Linked DNA regions of Stegostoma tigrinum. The protein of the gene in region 1 purifies or fractionates together with the protein of each later gene. This does not show direct contact. Links are inferred from orthologs where the notes say so. Each region holds a gene or a part of one and is shown on either strand. Other genes may lie near its edges.

Region 1 (11,134 bases):
TGGGCTGAGAATACGATCCTGAGGAACTCCTACAGTGACGTCCTGGAGCTGAGGTGGCTGACCAGCAACCAAAATCATCTTCAGGTTGCCAGCTATGACTCCAACCAGAGGAGAATGTGTCCCAATACCCATTGACTGCAGTTTTGCTAGGACGACTCGACACTCTTGTTCAAATGCAGCCCTGATTTCAAAGGCTGTCACTCTCACCTCAACTCTGGAATTTAGCGCTTCATCCATAGATACTTTAGAAACTTTTAAGTGACTCTTGGATAGGCACATGGAGGATAGTAAAATGTAGGGTATGGAAGGTAGTTTGATCTTAGGAGAATAGGTCAGTGCAACATCATGGGCCAAAGGGCCTGTACTGTTCTATGTTCTATGTTTTAAATACTGACCTGACTAGTGAAACCCACATCCCATCAGTGAATAAAACAAAACTCCATTTCCTTGGTTCTTTCATCCAGATCATTAATATATAATAAATAGCTCTGGTCCCAACACTCTCCGCTGCTGAACTCCACCAGTCACTTGTTGCCATTCTGAAAAATCCTCACTTTATCCCTTTATCTGTCTTCTGCCAATTAGCCAATACTTTATCCACGCCAATACTTTGCTCCTAACACCATGGGCTTTTATCTCATAGAGTCACAGAGTCATAGAGTCATACAGCACAGAAATAGACTCTTCAGTCCATCCTGTCCTTGCTGACCAGGTTCCTCATTATGGCTTTCCAAACTTAAACTAGTCCCATTTGCCAACATTTGGCCCATATCCCTCTAAAACCTTCCTAATCATGTACCTGTCCAAATGTCTTTAAAATGTGCATCTACCACATCTTCTGGCAGTTCATTTCACTCACAAACTACCCTCAGTGTGAAAAGGTTGTCCCTCAGGTCCCTTTGAAATCTTCCCCTCACAACTTCAACCTATGCCTTCTAGTTTTGGACTCCCTACCCTAGGGAAAGGCATTATAAAAGATTTTATATACCTCTGTAAAGTGGCCCCTCAGCTTCCTCTGCTCCAGTGAAAGAAGTCCCAGCCTGTCCAGCCTCTCCTTATAACTCAAATCCTCCAATCCCAGTAACATCCTTGTAAATCTTTTCTGCACTCTTTACAGTTTATTAACATAATTCTTTACAGCATGACACCCTGAATTGTATGTAGTACTCCAAAAGTGGCCTCACCAATGTCCTGCACAGCCACATGACATCCCAACTCCTACGGAGGCATGGGATTGAGAGTGATTTAGCGGTTTGGATCAGAAATTGGCTAGCTGTAAGTAGACAGTGGGTGGTGGTTGTTGGGAAATGTCCATCGTGGAGTTCAGTTACTAGTGGTGAACCGCAAGGATCTGCTTTGGGGCCACTCTTGTCATTTTTATAAATGACCTGGATGAGGGCGCAGAGGATGGGTTAGTAAATTTGCAGATGACACTAAAGTCGGTGGAGTTGTGGATAGTGTGTAAGGATGTTGCAGGTTACACAGGGACATAAGCTGCAGGGCTGGGCTAAGAAGTGGCAAATGGAGTTTAATGCAGAAAGGTGCGAGGTGATGCACTTTGGAAGGAGTAACAGAAATACAGAGTACTGGGCTAATGGTAAGATTCTTGGTAGTGTGGATGAGCAGAGAGATCTCGGTGTCCATGTGTATAGATCCCTGAAAGTCGCCACCCAGGGTGATAGGGTTGTTAAGAAGGCGTACGGTGTGTTAGATTTTATTGGTAGAGGGATTGAGTTTCAGAGCCACGAGGTCACGTTGCAGGTGTACAAAACTCTGGTGCGGCCACACTTGGAGTATTGTGTACTGGTCGCTGCATTATAGGAAGGATGTGGAAGCATTAGAAAGGGTGTACAGGAGGTTTACCAGGAAATTGCCTGGTAATGGAGGGAAGGTCTTATGAGGAAAGGCTGAGGGGCTTGAGGCTGTTTTCGTTAGAGAGAAGAAGGTTAAGAGGTGACTTAATAGAGACATACAAGATGATCAGAGGATTAGATAGGGTCGACAGTGAGAGCCTTTTTCCCCCGGATGGCGACGGCTAGCACGAGGGGACATAGCTTTAAATTGACGAGTGATAGATATGGGACAGATGTCAGAGGTAGGTGCTTTACTCAGAGAGTAATAAGGGCGTGGAATGCCCTGCCTGCAACAGTAGTAGACTTGCCAACTTTAAGGGTATTTAAATGGACATTGGATTAACACATGGATGATAACGGAATAGTGTAGGTTAGATGGGCTTCAAATTGTTGCACCGACCTGTGAAACCATCGAGGGCCGAAGGGCCTGTACTGCGCTGTAATGTTCTATGTTCTTGCCTTCATTGGTCAGACCCTTGAGTAAAGTGTGCCAATGTCTTCATCACCACCAAGTCTACCTGTGACACCACTTTCAAAGAACTATGTACTTGAACGCCTAGGTCTCTCTATTCATCAGTCCTCCCCAGGGCCCTACCATTAACAGTTTAAGTCCTTCCCCAGACGGTCTTACCGAAATGCAACACCTATCTAAATTAAACTTCATTCGCCACTCCTTGGCCCATGGACCCATCTGATCAAGATCCTGTTGTACCCTGAGATTACCTCTTTCACTGCTCAGTATTCCACCAATTTTGGTGTCGTCTACAAACTAACTAACCTTGCCTCCTATATTCTCATGTAGATCATTGTACAAAAAGGACAAACAATAGTGGGCCTAGTATTGATCCTTGCAGAACACCGCTAGTTAAAGGCCTCCAGTCTCCGAAACAATCCTTCACCACTACTCTCCGTCTCCCACTGGCAAACCAACTTGTATCTAATTGGCTATATCTCCCTGGATCCCATCCAATCTAACTTTATTAACCAGTCTATCATGTAGAACTTTGACAAATGCCTTGCTAAAGTCCACGTAGACAACATCCACTACTCTGCCTTCATCTATCCTCTTGGTCATGTCCTCAAAAAGCTCAGTTTTGTCAGACACAATTTCCCATGCACAAAGCCATGCTGGCTATCCCTAATCAGAGGCAGCTTGTCAAAGGCCTATTGATCCAAATAGCTCATGTCCATTGGCTCTCCTTTGTCAAACTTGCTCATTAGTTCTGCAAAGAGATTTGTCAGGCATGACCTCCCCTTAAGGAAGCCATGCTGACTCAGCACTTCCAAGTACACTCAATCTCATCCATAACAACGGGCTCTATAATCTTAAAAAAACGACTGAGGTCAGACTAATCGGCATATAGTTTCCAGTCTTCTGCCTCCCTCCCCTCTTAAACAGGGTGTTATATTAATCATTTTCCACTCCTCTGGCACCCTCCCTGACTCCAATGATTCCTGAAAGATCACCACGAATGCTTTGGTCCAGGTGATTAATCCACCTTCAGGCCTTCCTACATCTCCAGCATCACTTTTCAGTGGTCCAACGTCCATTCTTGCCTCTCTCTCTTAGCTACATATATCTAAAAAAAACTCTTGCAATCTTCCTTTATATTACTAGTTAGTTTACACTCATATTTCATCCACCCGCTTTTTTAGTTATACTCTGCTGGTTTTAAAGACTTCCCAGGATAATCTTCACCCATTGTATATTACTTCATTTGCTTTTATGCTGTCCCTGACTTCTCGTCAGCCATGGTTGCTTCGTAATCCCCTTTGTATGTTTCTTTTTTCTAGTGGGCTCTACCACAAGCTGCTCCAACAAAAACACCTCGTAGACATTCTGCAAATTCCTTTTCTTGAGATCCACTACCTATCTGATTTTCCCAGTCCACCTGCATACTGTAGTCCCCCATGATTATTATAAAAAAAGTAATTTTCTTACATGCATTTTCTATCTCCTAGTTTATTTTCTTCCCCATATCCTAACTACTGCTAGGACATAACTCCTATTTGGGTCTTATTTCCTTTGCAGTTCTAACCACACAGATTCTACACATTTCAACTCTTTCTTACTTCTTGCTATCAATTTAATTTGACTTCTCACTAACACGGCAACGCTGCCCCTTCTGTCCATTTGCCTGTCCTTTCAATAGGACATGTTTCCTCAGATGTTTAGTTCCCAGCCCTGATCCCCTTGCAGCCATGTCTCTGTGATGCCCACTACAATGCACCCATCAATTTCAGTCTGCACTACAAACTCATTTATCTTGTTTCATATATAGCGTTTATTGAAGTATGACACCTTCGGTCCTGTGTCGACTGCCCCCTTCTCATGGCTGTCTCCTTATCTGCTGTGCCTGAAGTTAGATTTTTAACATGTTCCATACTCTCTCCTTTTACTTGTTCTGAAAATTTTACTAACCTCTGCTGAGTCCTCCCTGCTTTTAACTTTTTCCATGCAACTGAACCCACCCTCCTAATAATTAGTTTAAAGCGCTGTCCACAGCCCTAGTTATGTGATTCTCCAGGGCTCTGATCCCAGCATAATTCAGGTGGGAGTCCATTCCATTGGAACAGCTCCCTCCTTCTCCAGTACTGGTGCCAAAGTCCTATGAATTCAAACCCGTTTCTCCTATACACCCAATCTTTGAGCTACGTGTTTACTTCTTTAATCTTGCTCACCCTATGCCTATTCCCTTGTGGCTCAGATAGAAATCAGAGATTAACTTTTGGTTCTACTTTCTAATTGAGCCCTTAAGCTGTTCATATTACCTCAGCAGAACGTCTTTCCTCTTTCTACCTATATGGACCATGACAACTGGATCTTTCCCTCCCACTCCAAGTTCCTCTCCAGCCAGATGAGATACCCGGAACCCAGCCAAGTAACATAACATTCAGGACTCTTGATCCTGAAAACACAGAAATGGCTATTCCTCTGGCTATACTACTCTTGATTACAACTACTTTTCTTTCTTCTCCCCCCTCTGGAATGGCTTCCTGTACCACTTTGGTCAGTTTGCTCATCCGCCCTACAGCCCCCACTCTCATTACACAGGGAGCAAGAATCTCAAACCTGTTAGATAAGCTCAAGGGCTGGTATCTCCAGCCTACCTCCTGGATTCCTCTACATGCCTCACTTGTCATCACGTCACCCTGTTCTTGACCGAATTTGAGGTAGTTAATCTAAGGGGCGTGACTGCCTTCTGAAACAGTGTCCAGGTAAATCTACCCTCCATGATGAGTTGCAGAGTACAAAGTTCAGATTCCAGCTCATCAAAAAGAAAAAGGGCTTGCACTTGGGGAGAGCAGATTTTAGTAAAATAAGGCAAGATATGGCCAAGGTAGGCTGGGAACAACTACTATTGGGGCACGGGGGGACATGCACAGGAGATTCATCAAAGTGCTGCCTGGGATGTAAAATTTAAGTTTGAGGAAAGGTTTGATAGGCTTGCATTGCTTTCACTGGAGCAGAGAAGACTGAAAGGTGGTCTGATTGAGGTCTACATAATTATGAGGGGCATGGACAGAATGGATAAGGAGTAGCGATTCCCCTCAGTTAAAAGGTCAGTGACAAGGGTATACAGGCTGAAGGTGAGGAGGAGGTTCGGTGGAGAGTGCAAATGAAAGGAAAAACTTTTTTGGCAACAGTGTGTAATATGCTGCCTGGGTTAGTAGTAGAAGTATGGTGTCTCAAATTCTTTAAAAAGTACTTGGATGAGCACTTAACAGGTCATAGCATTCAAGGTCACGGTCAAGAGCTCATCAATGGGATTAAGTTGAAGATCAGGTGTTTCTCATGTTTCGGTGCAGACTCAATAGGCCGAAGGGCCTCTTCTGCACGGTATGATTCTATGATGTTAACTCTGAGCCACAGTTCCTCAAGCGACCAACACTTGCTAGAGATGTGGTCACCATGAACCATTATAAAACATAAATTTCCAAAACCAGACATCAAAATTTGTAATGATAATGTTGGATTTAGACAAACCCATTTGAGAAGTTTAGGTCACCATGCAAAACAAAGAAAAAAACACTAACCTTTAAATGTATTCTATTGTAATCATCTAGTGTCTTTTTTCAGGGTCAAATTACCCCCTGAAGACATAGTTTTTTACAAGACAGTCAAAACAAACGCTTTCATCAGAAAACAAACTGTATTCCACCAACATTAATTTAAATGTCACATATTACCCATCTCTAATGGAACTAGAGTGGCGTGTTGCTTCATGTGCATAATCTCAGTTATTTCTCTTACCTACAATCAATTACATGATAGAACAACATACTAACATCCTTAAATTTCTTACTGCTTAAAATTCATATCAAGCTAATTTTAAACTTAACCACTAAAGTATCTCCAGTGTTGAAAAAAAACACTCATATCTCCTTGGGAGAGGGACAGGCAATACAAAATCCGGATGAGTCCAAAAACAATTCATTCAGCAACTCACTAGGACAATAGAGTCAGGCTCTTCTATCCTAGATTAATATCTCTCCCAGCTCTCACAAGTGGCTGCAAATGTCACATCCTGAAAATGAGGGCTGGGGAGGAAACACTTTCCCTTAAACTTCTGCCCACTTATTCCACCGAGTCCAACACTTACCCTGGCTGGTCACTGCTAGTGCCTGGCTGTAGCCACAAGGATTCCCAAATGAGCTGTAAAACTCACCAAACTACTAAACCTCCTGTTTCCCAGGAGGGGAGCACGGAACCATAACGCAGAAAATTGAGGGAAGGTGATTATGGGAAGGACCGGAAGTCACCGCCGGTCACGGGGGGAGTATATGTGAAGGACCGGAAGTGGCGGGTTGCTGTAGTAACGGCCGGGGAGGTTGACATGAAGCGGGATTTCGGTTTGACGGTGGCGGGGACGCAGGTTGTGTTGGCGGCGTCTTCAGATGAGAAACACCCGCCGGAGAACATCCTGGACGGGTGAGGATCTTCAGCTTGTCCGTGCGGTTGGCGAACAGGATCGTCCCCTTAGATAACACAGCATTGCGTTGATATAGCGCCTGGCGCGTGCCCTACACCTTGAGAATTTCTAAGTACCCATTGCCCTGCGAGAAATCCTATCAAAGTTGGCTGTTCGTCAGCTTTTTATTTTAGTTATGAAATGGTTGCGTCGACAGTCTGATGCTATTACTTCAGCTCCATGCCCGGATTATGCAGTAAAATGCCTCAATTCTTTGCAGAACCAGTGTCGGGTGGTAGAGGTGGAATTCTCGGCAGAAAGGTAGTTAGATCTATCAGTGAGACTTCTTTCACGGTCAAAAGCGAACACCCCTGCTTTGGTAGAGGTTGCAATATAGCCTAGTGATAAAAAGACCTTTTATTTATATGATAACAGTATGGAGCTGGAGGAACGCGGCAGGCCCAGCAGCATTAGAGGAGCAGGAAAGTTGACGTTTCGGCTCGGGACCTTTCTTCAACACTTTTCACAACCACCAGCTTTCTCAAAGTGTTTTCCAGCTAACTAAGTCCATTGAAGTGTAGTTACAGTTGTAATTCAACATTTAACAGCAGCTAATTGTACGCATTGCAAGGTCCCACAGACAGAAATAACCACAGATTATCTGCGGTTTTGAGAGTGCTAAGTATTGGACAAGATAACTAGGTATAATATTCCGGCTTTTCAAATGCAAGTGTCTCCCCTCCCACTCTGATTAAAGGGAGATTGCACCCAAATGAAAAATGTAGCAAATTTTATCCCAAGAATTGCCAGATTATAGTCCAGAAACTTTGACTGTTTTCCTTTTCTCTTACCCACTATCCAATGCTTGGGATTGTTTTATCAAATTCAAGGTGCTCTATGAATGCAAGTCATTTTCATCTAGGCTCGGCACGAAGAACAGTCACCTGCTAGAACTGGCTATCTATGATACTAATGAGACACAGATTAGAAAAAAAGATGAAAATTCAATAAACAAAAATACCAAGTCTCATACTGTACTTCTGTTCACAGTAATACAGAATCATTTTGGATTACAACAGGAATGTTCCCACAAGAATTTATCCTAAGTTTTGCTAATCTTATAAAAATTAGCTCAATGAAAATTCACTGTTACAATGGTAAGATTTTTGCTGCTTTTTAATTACTATATTTGAATATACTAATGATTTACTATGATAAACAAGCTACTTTACCTCGTTCCATATGGATCAAAGAATAAAGTGCAATGAACAGTAGTTCTTAATTATTCATGATCTTTACCAAGCTTTTATGCATGACTTTGCAAATACCTATTCAGTTTTGAGAGGAGTATATTTCTAGCTATATTTCAGTGTAAATGCATGAGTAAACATTGAACTATCTTGCAAAATTCATGAGAATAAAGTAAGACACCATCTACTCAAAATAATTGTAAATGTTCCAAAAGTAATAAGTTTTTCTTGGTTTACCATTCCAGTGCGTAACCTTGGTATTGAGAGAAGTATAGCAAGAGATCCTGTAGATTTTGAACCATTGAGTAACAATGGTAAGTGTACTCAACAAATATTTTGATAATATTGCCAAGATTGTTGTTGAAAATAGTTGCTTCCGTTCCATTTCTTTTGATGGTTTTCATCCTGTTGTGCTTACTTTTTACCAGAACTTGAGCGCTCTGAGGAACAGCTTCAAGTAAAGGAATTTACAGTAAGTAAATTCTACAAAAAGCTGAGGTAACATATTAGGTATGAAATCATTATAGGTCAGTTCCTCCCCAAAGTAGTATTGAATAGTGTTGTAGCGGTTTGATTTCCCCATTTCTACTGAAGTTTTTGATCTCTATGGTGCTGTTGCAGCAAGCTTCTGAGCGAAGGACAATCACTTTCCCAAGTTGGAAAATGAGGCCAATTCAAATAATGTACACGTACACATTATTAAATTTAACTAAGTGGTTCAAAATAATATTCATTATTTTGGGAATGCAAGGTGCACTGTGACCTAGTTTGCTAAGTAAAATAACATAACAATTCAAGGGTCAAAAAAGGGTAGAGACTTTAATGAATTATAAATACTAGCATGGACTGGGTTGACCAAATGGTCTGTTTCTTGCTGTATTGCTAACATTAATGCCACTCAAATAAAAGGCAATGACTTTCTCCAGCTGGAAATAATCTAACCATCGTCCCTTCACATACAGTGGCATTACTTTGGCTTCACATTGGGATTACCCATCATCGTGTTATGCGGCATTATCACAATGCCAAAATGGGATAGACTTAAACAGACCTAGCAACTCAAGTTTGGCTATTCATAAGGTGCTATGGGCATCACAGCAGCAGAATCTCCAACATAATCTGCAACCACATGACCCAGCATACCCCCATTCAGTTATTACCATCAAGACAGGCGATCAACTCTGGTTCAATGGAGTGTGCAGGAGCAGCACCAGCCATACCTAAAAATAAGTTGTCAACTTGGTGAAACTAAGTAGGGCTACCAAACGGCATAAACAGCAAGTTGTAGGCAGCAAAACTATCCCACAATCAACTGATGAGATCTAAGCTCCACTGTCCTGCAACATCCAATCATCAGTGGACAATTAAACAACTCATCGGAGGAGTCATCTCCAGAAACATTCCCATCCTCAATGATGGCAGAGTTGAGCACATCAGTACAAACAGTAGGGTAGAAGCATTTGCAGTAATCTTCAACCAGAAATATTGAGTGGATGATCCATTGTGGCCTCCTCCAGTGGTCCCACATCACAGATGCCAGCCTTCAGCCAAAGAAATGTTTGAAGACATTGGATACGGCTAAGATTCCAGGCCCAGACAACACTTTGGCAATAGTATTGAAGAATACAAAACTTGCCGTACCATAGCTAAGCTGTTTCGGTTCAGCTACAACACCGGCATTTCCCCAACTGTTTGGAAAATTGCCCAGATATGTTCTGTACATAAAAAGTAGGATAAATCTGACCTGGTCATTTTCCAGCCCATCAATCTATTCTCGATCATTAGTAAAGTGATGGAAGGTGTCATCAACAGAGCTATCAAGCAGCACCTGCTAAGCAATAATCTGCTCAGTGACGCCCAGTTTGGGTTCTGTCAGGGCCAGTCAGCTGTTGATCTCATTACAGCCTTGGTTCAAACGTGGTCAAAAGAGCAGATTTCTAGAGGTGAGATGAGAGTGACCTCAAGACTGCATTTGACGGTGTGGCATCGAGGAGCCCTAGCAAAACTGGAATCCATGGTAATCGGAAGTATGAAGGCAGCTCACCATACCTTCTCACGCACAACCAGGGATGGGTAATGAATGATGGCCAGCCAGCAACACCTACGACCTACGAATGACTAAAATAAATCCCCTGCTTCCAACATTGTGAAGTTGCCATTGACTGGAAACTGAACTGGACTAGTCGCATTAAACTGTGAGTACAAAAGGAAGTCTGAGGTTAAGAATGTGACAGGTAAATGACCCCAAACTCCCCAAAATCTGTGCACGATCTATGAGGCACAAATCATGTGATGGAATACTCCACTTGCCTAGATGTGTGCAGCGCGAATAACTCTCAAGAATTTCTTCCCAGGATAAAATATCCAGCCTGTTTGGCATCCTATCCACCAACTTACTTATACACTGCCTCTCTTACTGATGCAGAGTGTTAGCAGTGTGTGCTTTCCATAAGGTGCGCTGCACCACTCACCAAGGTTCTTTTTACAGCACCTACCAAACCTGCAACTTCGAGCACTTATGCCATGGAGAGCAAACATGTGGGAGCACCACCACCTGCAAATTCTCCTTCAAATCATAACTAACCTGACTTGGAACTAACATTGCCATTCCTTCATTATTGTACATCTCAATCTTAGTACTCCCTTCCCGCTGTGTCTACCTAGCCCCATGGACTGCAGTGATTCAAGACAGCTGTCATACTTTAAAGGGCAAGTAGATGGGGACAATAGATGTTTATTTTTAAATTCATTCTTGAGATATGAACATCATTGACTAGGCCAGTATTTTTTGCCTATTCCTAATTACCCAGAGGGCATTTAAGTAATATCCACATATTACTGTGGATCCAAAGTCACTTGTGGACAAGACCAGATAAGGGCAGCAGATTGTCATCTCTCAGGGTCATTAAAGAACCAGATGGCTGTTGTCAATTGACAGTGATTCCATGGTCAGCATTAGGCTAGCTTTTTATTGAATTTAAACTTCATCTGACAAGGTGGGTTTCAAATCCATATCCCCAGAATATTAAGCCTGGTTTAGGAGTCCAGTGATGTTACCACTCTCCCACAGCCTCCCCTCAAAGGCAGTTTAGTCAGTAATGCCCAAATTCTGTAAATC
Region 2 (9,976 bases), on another chromosome or scaffold:
CATTCCCCGCTCCATCACCACCCCCATCCCCATATCCCCATACCACCCCCATCCCCATATCCCCATTCCCCCCTTCCCCATATCCCCATTCCCCCACCATCCCCATATCCCCATTTCCCCCATCAACCCCCATCCCCATATCCCCATTACCCCCCATCACCCCCCATCCCCATCACCCCCCCATCCCCATATCCCCATTCCCCCCCATCCCCATATCCCCCACCATCCCCATATCCGTATTCCCCCCCCTTCACCCCCCATCCCCATATCCCCATTCCCCCCCCATCACCTCCCCATCCCCAATCCCCCCCCATCCCCATATTCCCTGTCCCCCCATCAGCCCCCAATCCCCATATCCCCGCTCTTCCACATCACCCCCCGATCCCCATATCCCCATTCCCCCCCATCACCCCCCCATCCCCGTTCTCCCCATATCCCCATTCCCCCCCCATCATCCCCCCATCCCCGTTCTCCCCATATCCCCCCCATCATCCCCCCATCTCCATTCTCCCCATATCCCCATCACCTCACCATCCCCATTCTCCCCATATCCCCATCACCCCGCCATCCCCATTCCCCCCATCACCCCCCCATCCCCATTCCCCCCCATCACCCCCCAATCCCCATATCCCCATTCCACCTCCATCACCAACCCCAAAACCATATCCCCATTCCCCCCCATCCCCATATCCCCCACCATCCCCATATCCCCATTCCCATATCCGTATTCCCCCCCAATCACTCCCCCATCCCCATATCCCCATTCCCCCAATCACCTCCCCATCCCCATTCCCCCCCATCACCTCCCCATACCCATCACCTCCCCATCCCCATATCCCCATTCCCCCCAATCACACCCCATCCCCAAATCCCCGTTCCCCCCCATCCCCAAATCCCCGTTCCCCCCCAATCACCCCTGCAATCCCCAAATCCCCCTTCCCCCCCACTCACCCCCCCATCCCCATTCCCCCCATCCCCATCAACCCCCTATCCCCATATCCCCATCAACCCCCCATCCCCATTCCCCCCATCCCCATCAACCCCCTATCCCCATATCCCCATCAACCCCCCATCCCCATCAACCCCCCATCCCCATATCCTCATCACCCCCCCATCCCCATATCCCCATATCCCCGTTCCCCCCAATCACCCCCCATCCCCATTCCCCCCCCATTCACCATATCCCCATCAAACCCCATCCCCATATCCCCATCAACCCTCCATCCCCATATCCTCATCACCCCCCCATCCCCATATCCCCATTCCCCCATCCCCATCCCCGCCAATCACCCCCCCATCCCCATATCCCCCCTAATCACCCCCCATCCCCATATCCCCATTCCCCCCATCACCCCCGCATCCCCATCCCCCCCCATCACCCCCGCATCCCCATCCCCCCCCATCACCCCCGCATCCCCATCCCCCATATCGCCATCCCCCCATCCCCATATCCCCGTTTCCCCCCAATCACACCCCATCCCCAAATCCCTGTTCCCCCCCAAACACCCCCCATCCCCATATCCCCGTTCCCCCCAATCACCTCCCCATCCCCATTCCCCCCCATCACCTCCCCATCCGCATTCCCCCCCATCTCCATATCCCCATTCCCCCCCATTCCCATATCCCCATTCCCCCCAATCACCTCCCCATCCCCATTCCCCCCAATCACCTCCCCATCCCCATTCCCCCCCATCACCTCCCCATCCCCATTCCCCCCCATCTCCATATCCCCATTCCCCCCCATCCCCATATCCCCATTCCCCCCAATCACCTCCCCATCCTCATTCCCCCCATCACCTCCCCATCCCCATTCCCCCCCATTCCCCCCCATCACCTCCCCATCACCCCCCAATCCCAATATCCCCGCTCCTCCACATCACACCCCCATCCCCATTTCCCCATTCCCGCCCATCCCCATTCCCCCCAATCCCCATCCCCCCCATCCCCATTCCCCATTTCTCCATCACCCCACCATCCCCATTCCCCCCATCAGCCCCCCGTCCCCATCACCCCCCATCCCCATAATCACCCCCATCCCCATAATCACCCCCCATTCCCCATATCCCCATTATCACCCCCCCATCCCCATATCCCCGCTCCTCCACATCACCCCCCCATCCCCATTCCCGCCCATCCCTATTATGCCCATTCCCCCCCATCCCCATATCCCCATTCCCCCATCACCCATATCCCCCGCCATCCCCATACCCCCATCACCCCCCATCCCCATATCCCCATCGCCCCCCATCCCCATAACCCCATTCCCCCATATCCTCATATCCCCCGCCATCCCCATATCCCCATCGCCCCCCATCCCCATATCCCCATTCCCCCATATCCTCATATCCCCCGCCATCCCCATATCCCCATCGCCCCCCATCCCCATATCCCCATCGCCCCCCCATCCCCATATCCCCATTCCCCCCCATCCCCATAACCCCATTCCCCCATATCCTCATATCCCCCGCCATCCCCACATCCTCATATCCCCATCGCCCCCCATCCCCATATCCCCATCGCCCCCCCATCCCCATATCCCCATCGCCCCCCCATCCCCATATCCCCATCGCCCCCCCATCCCCATATCCCCATCGCCCCCCCATCCCCATATCCCCATTCCCCCCCCATTCCCCCCCCATCCCCATTCCCCCCCATCCCCATATCCCCATCGCCCCCCATCGCCCCCCCATCCCCATATCCCCATTCCCCCATCACCCCCCCCATCCCCATATCCCCATTCCCCCATCGCCCCCCCCATCCCCATATCCCCATTCCCCCATCGCCCCCCCCATCCCCATATCCCCATTCCCCCCATCACCCCATATCCCCATCACCCACCATCCCCATATCCCCATCACCCCCCCATCCCCATAGCCCCCCCATCTCCATTCTCCCCATATCCCCATCGCCCCCCCATCCCCATTCTCCCCATCCCCATATCCCCATCGCCCCCCCATTCCCATATCCCCATTCCCCCCATCACCCCCCCAATCCCCACTCTCCCCCATCCCCATCACCCCCCCATCCCCATTCCCCCATCACCCCCCAATCCCCATTCTCCCCCATCACCCCCCAATCCCCATATCCCCATTCCCCCATCACCCCCCAATCCCCATTCTCCCCCATCACCCCCCAATCCCCATATCCTCATCACCCCCCAATCCCCATTCCCCCCAATCACCCCCCATCCCCATTCCCCCCCATTCACCATATCCCCATCGTCCCCCCATCCCCATATCCCCATCGTCCCCCCATCCCCATATCCCCATCGTCCCCCCATCCCCATTCTCCCCCATCCCCATATCCCCATTGCCCCCCATTCCCATATCCCCATTCCCCCCCAACCCCATATCCCCATCACCCCCCATATCCCCATAGCCCCCCCATCTCCATTCTCCCCATATCCCCATCGCCCACCCATCCCCATTCTCCCCATCCCCATATCCCCATCGCCCCCCCATCCCCATATCCCCATCGCCCCCCCCGTCCCCATATCCCCATCGCACCCCCCGTCCCCATATCCCCATCGCACCCCCCGTCCCCATATCCCCATCGCACCCCCCGTCCCCATATCCCCATCGCACCCCCCGTCCCCATATCCCCATCGCCCCCCCGTCCCCATCGCACCCCCCGTCCCCATATCCCCATCGCACCCCCCGTCCCCATATCCCCATCGCACCCCCCGTCCCCATATCCCCATCGCCCCCCCGTCCCCATATCCCCATCAGCCCCCCCGTCCCCATATCCCCATCAGCCCCCCCGTCCCCATATCCCCATCAGCCCCCCCGTCCCCATATCCCCATCAGCCCCCCCGTCCCCATATCCCCATCAGCCCCCCCCGTCCCCATATCCCCATCAGCCCCCCCCGTCCCCATATCCCCATCAGACCCCCCAACCCATCAGTCCCCCCCCATCCCCATCAGCCCCCCTGACCCCATATCCCCATCAGCCCCCCGTCCCCATCGCGCTCTCTTTCTCTCACAAACTGTCCTCCTCACTCATCCACTCTTTCTCCCGTATTTCCCCCTCCCCCTGCTCCCATGCCCGTCTTTAACGTACCTCTCGGGGTCCGAGCAGCAACAATTTGATGTTAAACATGGCGGCTGGTCAGGTGACCGCCGCTTCCGTTACCATGGAAATTGCCTCACCCGCCGCCGGGGCTGAAAACCCCGCCCTCCCCCGGCCGTTTGCCGCCGAACGTCTCCGATGCGGCGTCGAAATCCCCGCCTCCTCCGCGGATGAACACAAGAGGTCAAGGAGCATCAGCGGAGCCGGAAGGTAGACGCTTTGGGCCTAGATCAGTTAGGCCACAGGTTAGCCATGGCCCGAATGAATAGACGGTAGGCTCGAAGGGCTAAATTGCCTACTCCTGTCCCTGTGTTCCTCCACCACCGAAAGGCTGGTGGACATTGATAGTTTAAGGTCCCTTGGGCTCACAACCCCAGCCCTATGCCACAGCTTCAGAGTTAAAAAGTTCCTTTTCAGTGTGATCCCACCTCTGCTCTTCCGCTTTCTGGAGTTTCCACATTCCCTCTTATGTCTGCCAGCTGCTTCAGTTTCCTTCCGAAGTTTAAAGATGAGCATTGGCCATGCTAAATTGTCTGTGGTGTTCATGGATGTGTAGCCTGTGTGGATTAGCTGAGGTAAATTCGGGGGTTACAGGGATAGGCTAGGGCTCTAGGCATGTTGGTGCAGGCTTGATGGTGTTCTCTCTGCAGTGTATGAATGAATTCTGTGATAGCAATTAACGATTGACAGACAGTAGCAGTCGCATCCCAGGAAAGATAAATAGGCGTATACTTGCAGAAGTTTTTATTTAATTTTTTTGGTTGTTTTCTGTCATTAAAAAAGTCAGAGGAAATTTTAAGTCACTGTGTCTGTAATAACTATGTTATCACAATGATTTGTTTTAATGTAAGCTTTTAAGTCATCTGTCTTACAAATGCTGCACACATCAGATAGGGTTTTTGTTTCCTTTGAGCCTATTGTACATTCTGCTCCTTTCTGTGATACTTTGGTTATCATTATCCTGCACTATTGCCTTGCCATTGCTTTTTAAGTTTCCAGATTTGTACTACGTGATCTGTCCCATGAACATAGCCCAGACAATCACGCAAACCCAGCCTTCAACAAAGACTCCCAGCCTCCGATGACTCCTAACCCCAGTGCAGACATGACGAGGGGCCTGCCATGGCTGCATTGCAGCGTACTATGGCGACCTCCCAGCCTGAAGTATCGGCTTCCTGCCATGGTGTGATGATCTTCTGGCCTGGTGTACTGGCCTCCTGGTCCTGTGAAGCATAGCAGCCTGTAGTGGCGACCTCCTGGCCTGGCGTGGTGGCATCCCATGGCAACTTCGCAGTGTAGTGAGGCAGCTGCCCAGTGTGGCATCCTATCAGCCGAGCATAGAGGTCTCTTGGCCTGGCCTGGCCTGGCCTTGGCACGGTTTTCCAGTCTTAAGGTGGCACCAAAGCAGTCTCCCAGCCTCACGATCCTCAAGGTGAAACCCACCACAGTCTGGAGCCAGGGCCTAGTGCAAACTGGAGGCTATGTGCTAGCTTGGTATGGTTTGGAAGGTTCTGGACTTTTAGTTCTGTAACACTAGACATTTTATTTCTCTATTTTCTAGGATCTTGTAATGAAAGAAGCTGTACCTTTATACCTAATATGGGGCTGTAAGTGGTGATGTATAAAACTTTTCACTGTACTCAATTTAGTATATATGACAATAAAGCTAATTCAATTCAGTTCAAGCCAGCGTTCCATCCATTGACTCCATCTAAACTTACCACTGCCTCAGAAAGCAACCAGCATAACTAAAGACCCCTCCCACCCTGGTTATACACTCTTTCATCTTCTTCCACTGGGCAGAAGATAAAGAAGTTTAAATACATGAATGAACAGATTCAAGTATAGCTTCTTCCCCACTGCTGCTAGACTTTTGAATGTACCTCTCAAATGTAAACGCTGAGTATGCACACACGGGCTCTCGCCTCGCCTCGCCTCGCCTCGCCTCGCCTCTCGCTCGCTCGCTGTAACAATGTATACTACACTCTGTTCTGCTACCCTGATGCACTTTGCATGGTACCACATGCCTGTATAGCATGCAAACCAACACTTTTCACTGCATCTGGGTACATGACAATAATAAATGAAACTCTCCTACACTACTTAACAGAGAACCTCTTCGACAGACTTAGCTATAAAACATACAGTACTCGACCCTCCCTTCATCACTTGTTGGCCAAGAAGATATGTGCACAGTCTTGCCAAACAGCAACCTCTAAATCCTGCCAATGGCAAATGGTAAAGGTAGCAGAGATTCCGAGTCAGCCAGCACAGGTAAATGGTGGAGGTGGGATTTAGTGGCAGGAAGGGCATCAAGTTGAAAAACAGCAGTCACATCCAAACTACTGATTGACCTCAAAGTGACCGACGAATATTGTGGTGACCCCATGTGATATGGTACAAGCTAGAAAGAAAATGTATGTATTTAGGTTGTATAGAATCACAGTACGGAAGATGCCCTTTGAACCATTGAATTTGTATTGTCAAAAATGGTCATAAGTATTACTCAACTGTTGTCAGTAGTTTGAATGTAATGTAACCAATTAAGCTATAAAGTTTTTGTAATATCTCTTGCCACAGGACTACCTTAAACAATTATCTGCTTTTGAAAGGATGGCATTTTAAAAACTCCCGAAACAGCCTCCTTGCTGCTCCTCTGATTATAGCCTTGAACATAAGGAGGCTGGCAGAAATATAAAATGCAGCATTCGCCTCCCCTCTGCACCGAGCTCCCACAATACCCAATTGCCAAGTTAGCACTGGTTCTTTGTTGCATTCAGACCACATCACACTTTGTGTTCCCATACTCTGTGAGGGCAAACCCTGTGAACATTTATAGAGAGCCAATGACTCTCACCCAAGTTCCAAATGCAAAGTCTGCTGCAGTGATTACCACATGTTAACTTTCAGTGAAAATTCTGAATGAGGGCTTTGCTCTAGGATGTGGCCAGTACAGTTCAGTGTGGTGATTATCATGACAAACATGAATAAACATTTTATTATGTACTTGACTGTTTTTTAAGAAGTCAGCAAGAGTCGATCTCCTAAGGATAAGTCACAGATATTCACTGCAGCGTCCAGCAAATCTGTCATTCACAGAAACAGGGTTTGCAAGTGGATACCCATGATCTGAACATTTAGCCTTTATTCGTTCAGAAGATTAATGGGGCTAAAAGTAGAAACTCATGATCAGGATCCTGATGAAAGTCAAGCTCCGCTGTTCCACAACTTCTTACAAAAAAGAAATATGACCAGTTTCATCTCCAAGATGATTAAAACCTAACTCTGACGCTTGTCGAGGTAAAAATAAAGTTACTCCAGGTTTTATCGCCGTATATGAAAACAATTACTAGAACAAACATCTGCCAACAACTGGCAAAATTAATTATTAGTTACTACAATACAAACTTAAACCCTATCCCCTTTAAATCAAAAACAGCCACATAATTCATTCACAACTAGGAAAGATATACCTGTTTTGCAGAAATATGGGTGGAAAACACAGGCAAAAAGGAATAAATTCTGTTGATAAAGAATCCAAATTGATGCGCTTTAGAAATTTCTGTGTTTCCAAAATCTCCGAGTGTCATTTATTTTCCTCTCAGAGAGAAAGAGAGAGATCTTGTTTGCTTGCAGACTTTTGGAAGTCATAGTTCAATAACTGTGTCTCCTCTTATTGTGACAAATTGCTGTTTAAACCCATTCCAAAAGATATTGATGGATAGTTTATTTTAGTTTCAACTGAAAAGCACTTGATGCCAACAACTTTCATAAAATAATCAAATCTAACTTCTCAATTTAAAAAGTTACATGCCTTTGTATAACATGTAAATGACCAAGCCATTCAACATTTCCTTTAAGTTGGAATAAGAAAAATGGGTTCATTCTCTGCAAGAAGCTACTCAGACTTTCATTTTCCAGTTGTGTTTCAAATAAAACAAAAATAAAAATATAAATGATCAGTTGTCCTTACAAATGGCATACTGTGAACCCATAATCAGACAAACCCGGCAAAGACACGCTTCTTTCTCTCCCTATATACTTTACTTATACTTCACAATATACTTTAAGCATAAAATTTTACAAATTTACAACTAAATGCTTCAACATGAATATTACAAAAGTTGCAAAAACATTCACCTTACCCCTGTAGAGCATTTCCATTCAATATGGTTGTAATAATCTTCATATTTACAAAATAAACTTGATTTGGGTATACAACCTGAGAGCAAACCATTACAAATTGTAATGTCTCAACATATTTTCAATCTATTGATTTACACTAAACATTCTTTTAAACCTGAGGAAAGTCTACAGTTTCTAGCCCCCCAGAGTACTATGACTGAATGACATTAGGCAGTGACCTGCCTGCTCTGCATTCTGTGACAGCTGGTTCCAGCTTTAGTCCATCACTCAGCACATATTCCTGGATCTTGGAATGTGCCAGTCTGCATCGTTCAGTCGAGGATAGCACTGCACTGGAAGACCAAAAAGACCAAAAACAGACCAAAGAATTGCCTATACTGCACAGAGTTCACATTAGGACCTGCTTGAAATGAATCGCGACAGAAACCATTCCATCTTTCTTCAGACCTTCTTTGCAAAAGCACAGCACAGAAAGAGATGGACAACAGTCTCTCCTCAACACAGCCACCTGAAGGACAACCTGTATAGGGGGTGAGGCCCTGAGTGTGTAGGAAGGATCTGAAGGAAAGACCTCATTTATTACTGGCCAAGATTCATGTTGGTGTTTGCTTATAAGGTTTAGCTACAGGCCATTCTATCAAATGATTTTGACAGTCTGCTAAGGGAACCACCTGAGAGGATTGAACTTCTCCTTTCCCTGAAGGATCTTGAGGACATTACATGCTGACCACTGCCTGATGAACTTGTGGCCAAAGGGGTTTTCTCCACAAACTTCTCCCTAAGAAGCAAGTAGTGCAGCATGGTCCAACTACATTTAAATGAGTACTTAAATCTATATTCACTGTAGAGAATCTCTGTCTCACCTCCCCACCACCCACCACACACACTCACACACTTTCTATCTGACGCGCACACCCTCTCACCACCCCACCCCACATGCGCTCATACAAACACACCTTTCTCTCTTCCCGCCCCCCGCCTCTCTCACACACACACACAAATTCTACTTTGTTCAAAAAGCACACAATTTATAGACAATCAGTCAATCTGACATTTTATAAATTCTTACTTTAGAACTGAAACCAGTCTGACTCAAGACCAAAACACCAAAACACAGTTTCTGAACAAGGCCTGACACCTAACATGCATTGTCTGACTTAAAATGTCACCTCTTCTTTACATTCATATAATCTTTCCTTCTCTCAGGACAGTGACTTCAAAGGAATTTGTGGATTTACATATACATATTATTTAATCAAAACCTTATAATTTATGAAAGATTTAACAACATGTTAGGTTGTTTAGCATCTCCTCAGCAGTGGTGTGACCCCTTGATCTTTTACTTCTAAATTCTGTGTTGATACGGCCTCTCTCACTAATACCTGAAGAAGGAGTAAGACGCCAAAAGCTTGTGATTTCAAATAGACCTGTTGGACTGTAACCTGGTGTGTGATTTCTGACACTGTAGAGAAGTACAATGCAGATATGGAAATCAGGGAAGGGGTCTATGATACACTTGAAAAGAAAGCAGAGGTATTAGTGATTTTAGTGAATATCTCCCCAAACCCCCAGGTGAGATATTTCCCAGGCTGCTGTGGGAGGCAAGGGACAAGATTGCAGGGGCCCTGATATTATTTTTCAAATCCTTTCTGGACACAGGAGAGGTGCTAAAGGACTGGGGTTAGCTAATGTGGTCCTATTTTGCAAGAAAAGTGATAGGGACAAACCAGGAAGCTGGAGGCAAGTGTGTTTAATATCTGTA

The links. Proteins that work in one complex are often made in the same cells at the same time.
Region 2: the proteins of hspb11 (region 1) and ift22 purify together in Homo sapiens (affinity purification with mass spectrometry; 3 studies listed by BioGRID and IntAct, with this or other methods). This does not show direct contact. The link is inferred for Stegostoma tigrinum from reciprocal best matches to the Homo sapiens genes IFT25 and IFT22.

The regions. Positions count from the first base shown.
Region 1 is NC_081361.1:41,473,864-41,484,997, forward strand, and holds the start of hspb11 (intraflagellar transport protein 25 homolog), read left to right. Parts: upstream 1-6,649; 5' UTR 6,650-6,691; coding exon 6,692-6,786; intron 6,787-7,816; coding exon 7,817-7,923; intron 7,924-8,261; coding exon 8,262-8,330; intron 8,331-8,444; coding exon 8,445-8,488; intron 8,489-11,134. UniProt on the Homo sapiens protein: Component of the IFT complex B required for sonic hedgehog/SHH signaling.
Region 2 is NC_081380.1:1,221,899-1,231,874, forward strand, and holds the start of ift22 (intraflagellar transport protein 22 homolog), read right to left. Parts: upstream 4,180-9,976; 5' UTR 4,099-4,179; coding exon 4,060-4,098; intron 1-4,059. UniProt on the Homo sapiens protein: Small GTPase-like component of the intraflagellar transport (IFT) complex B.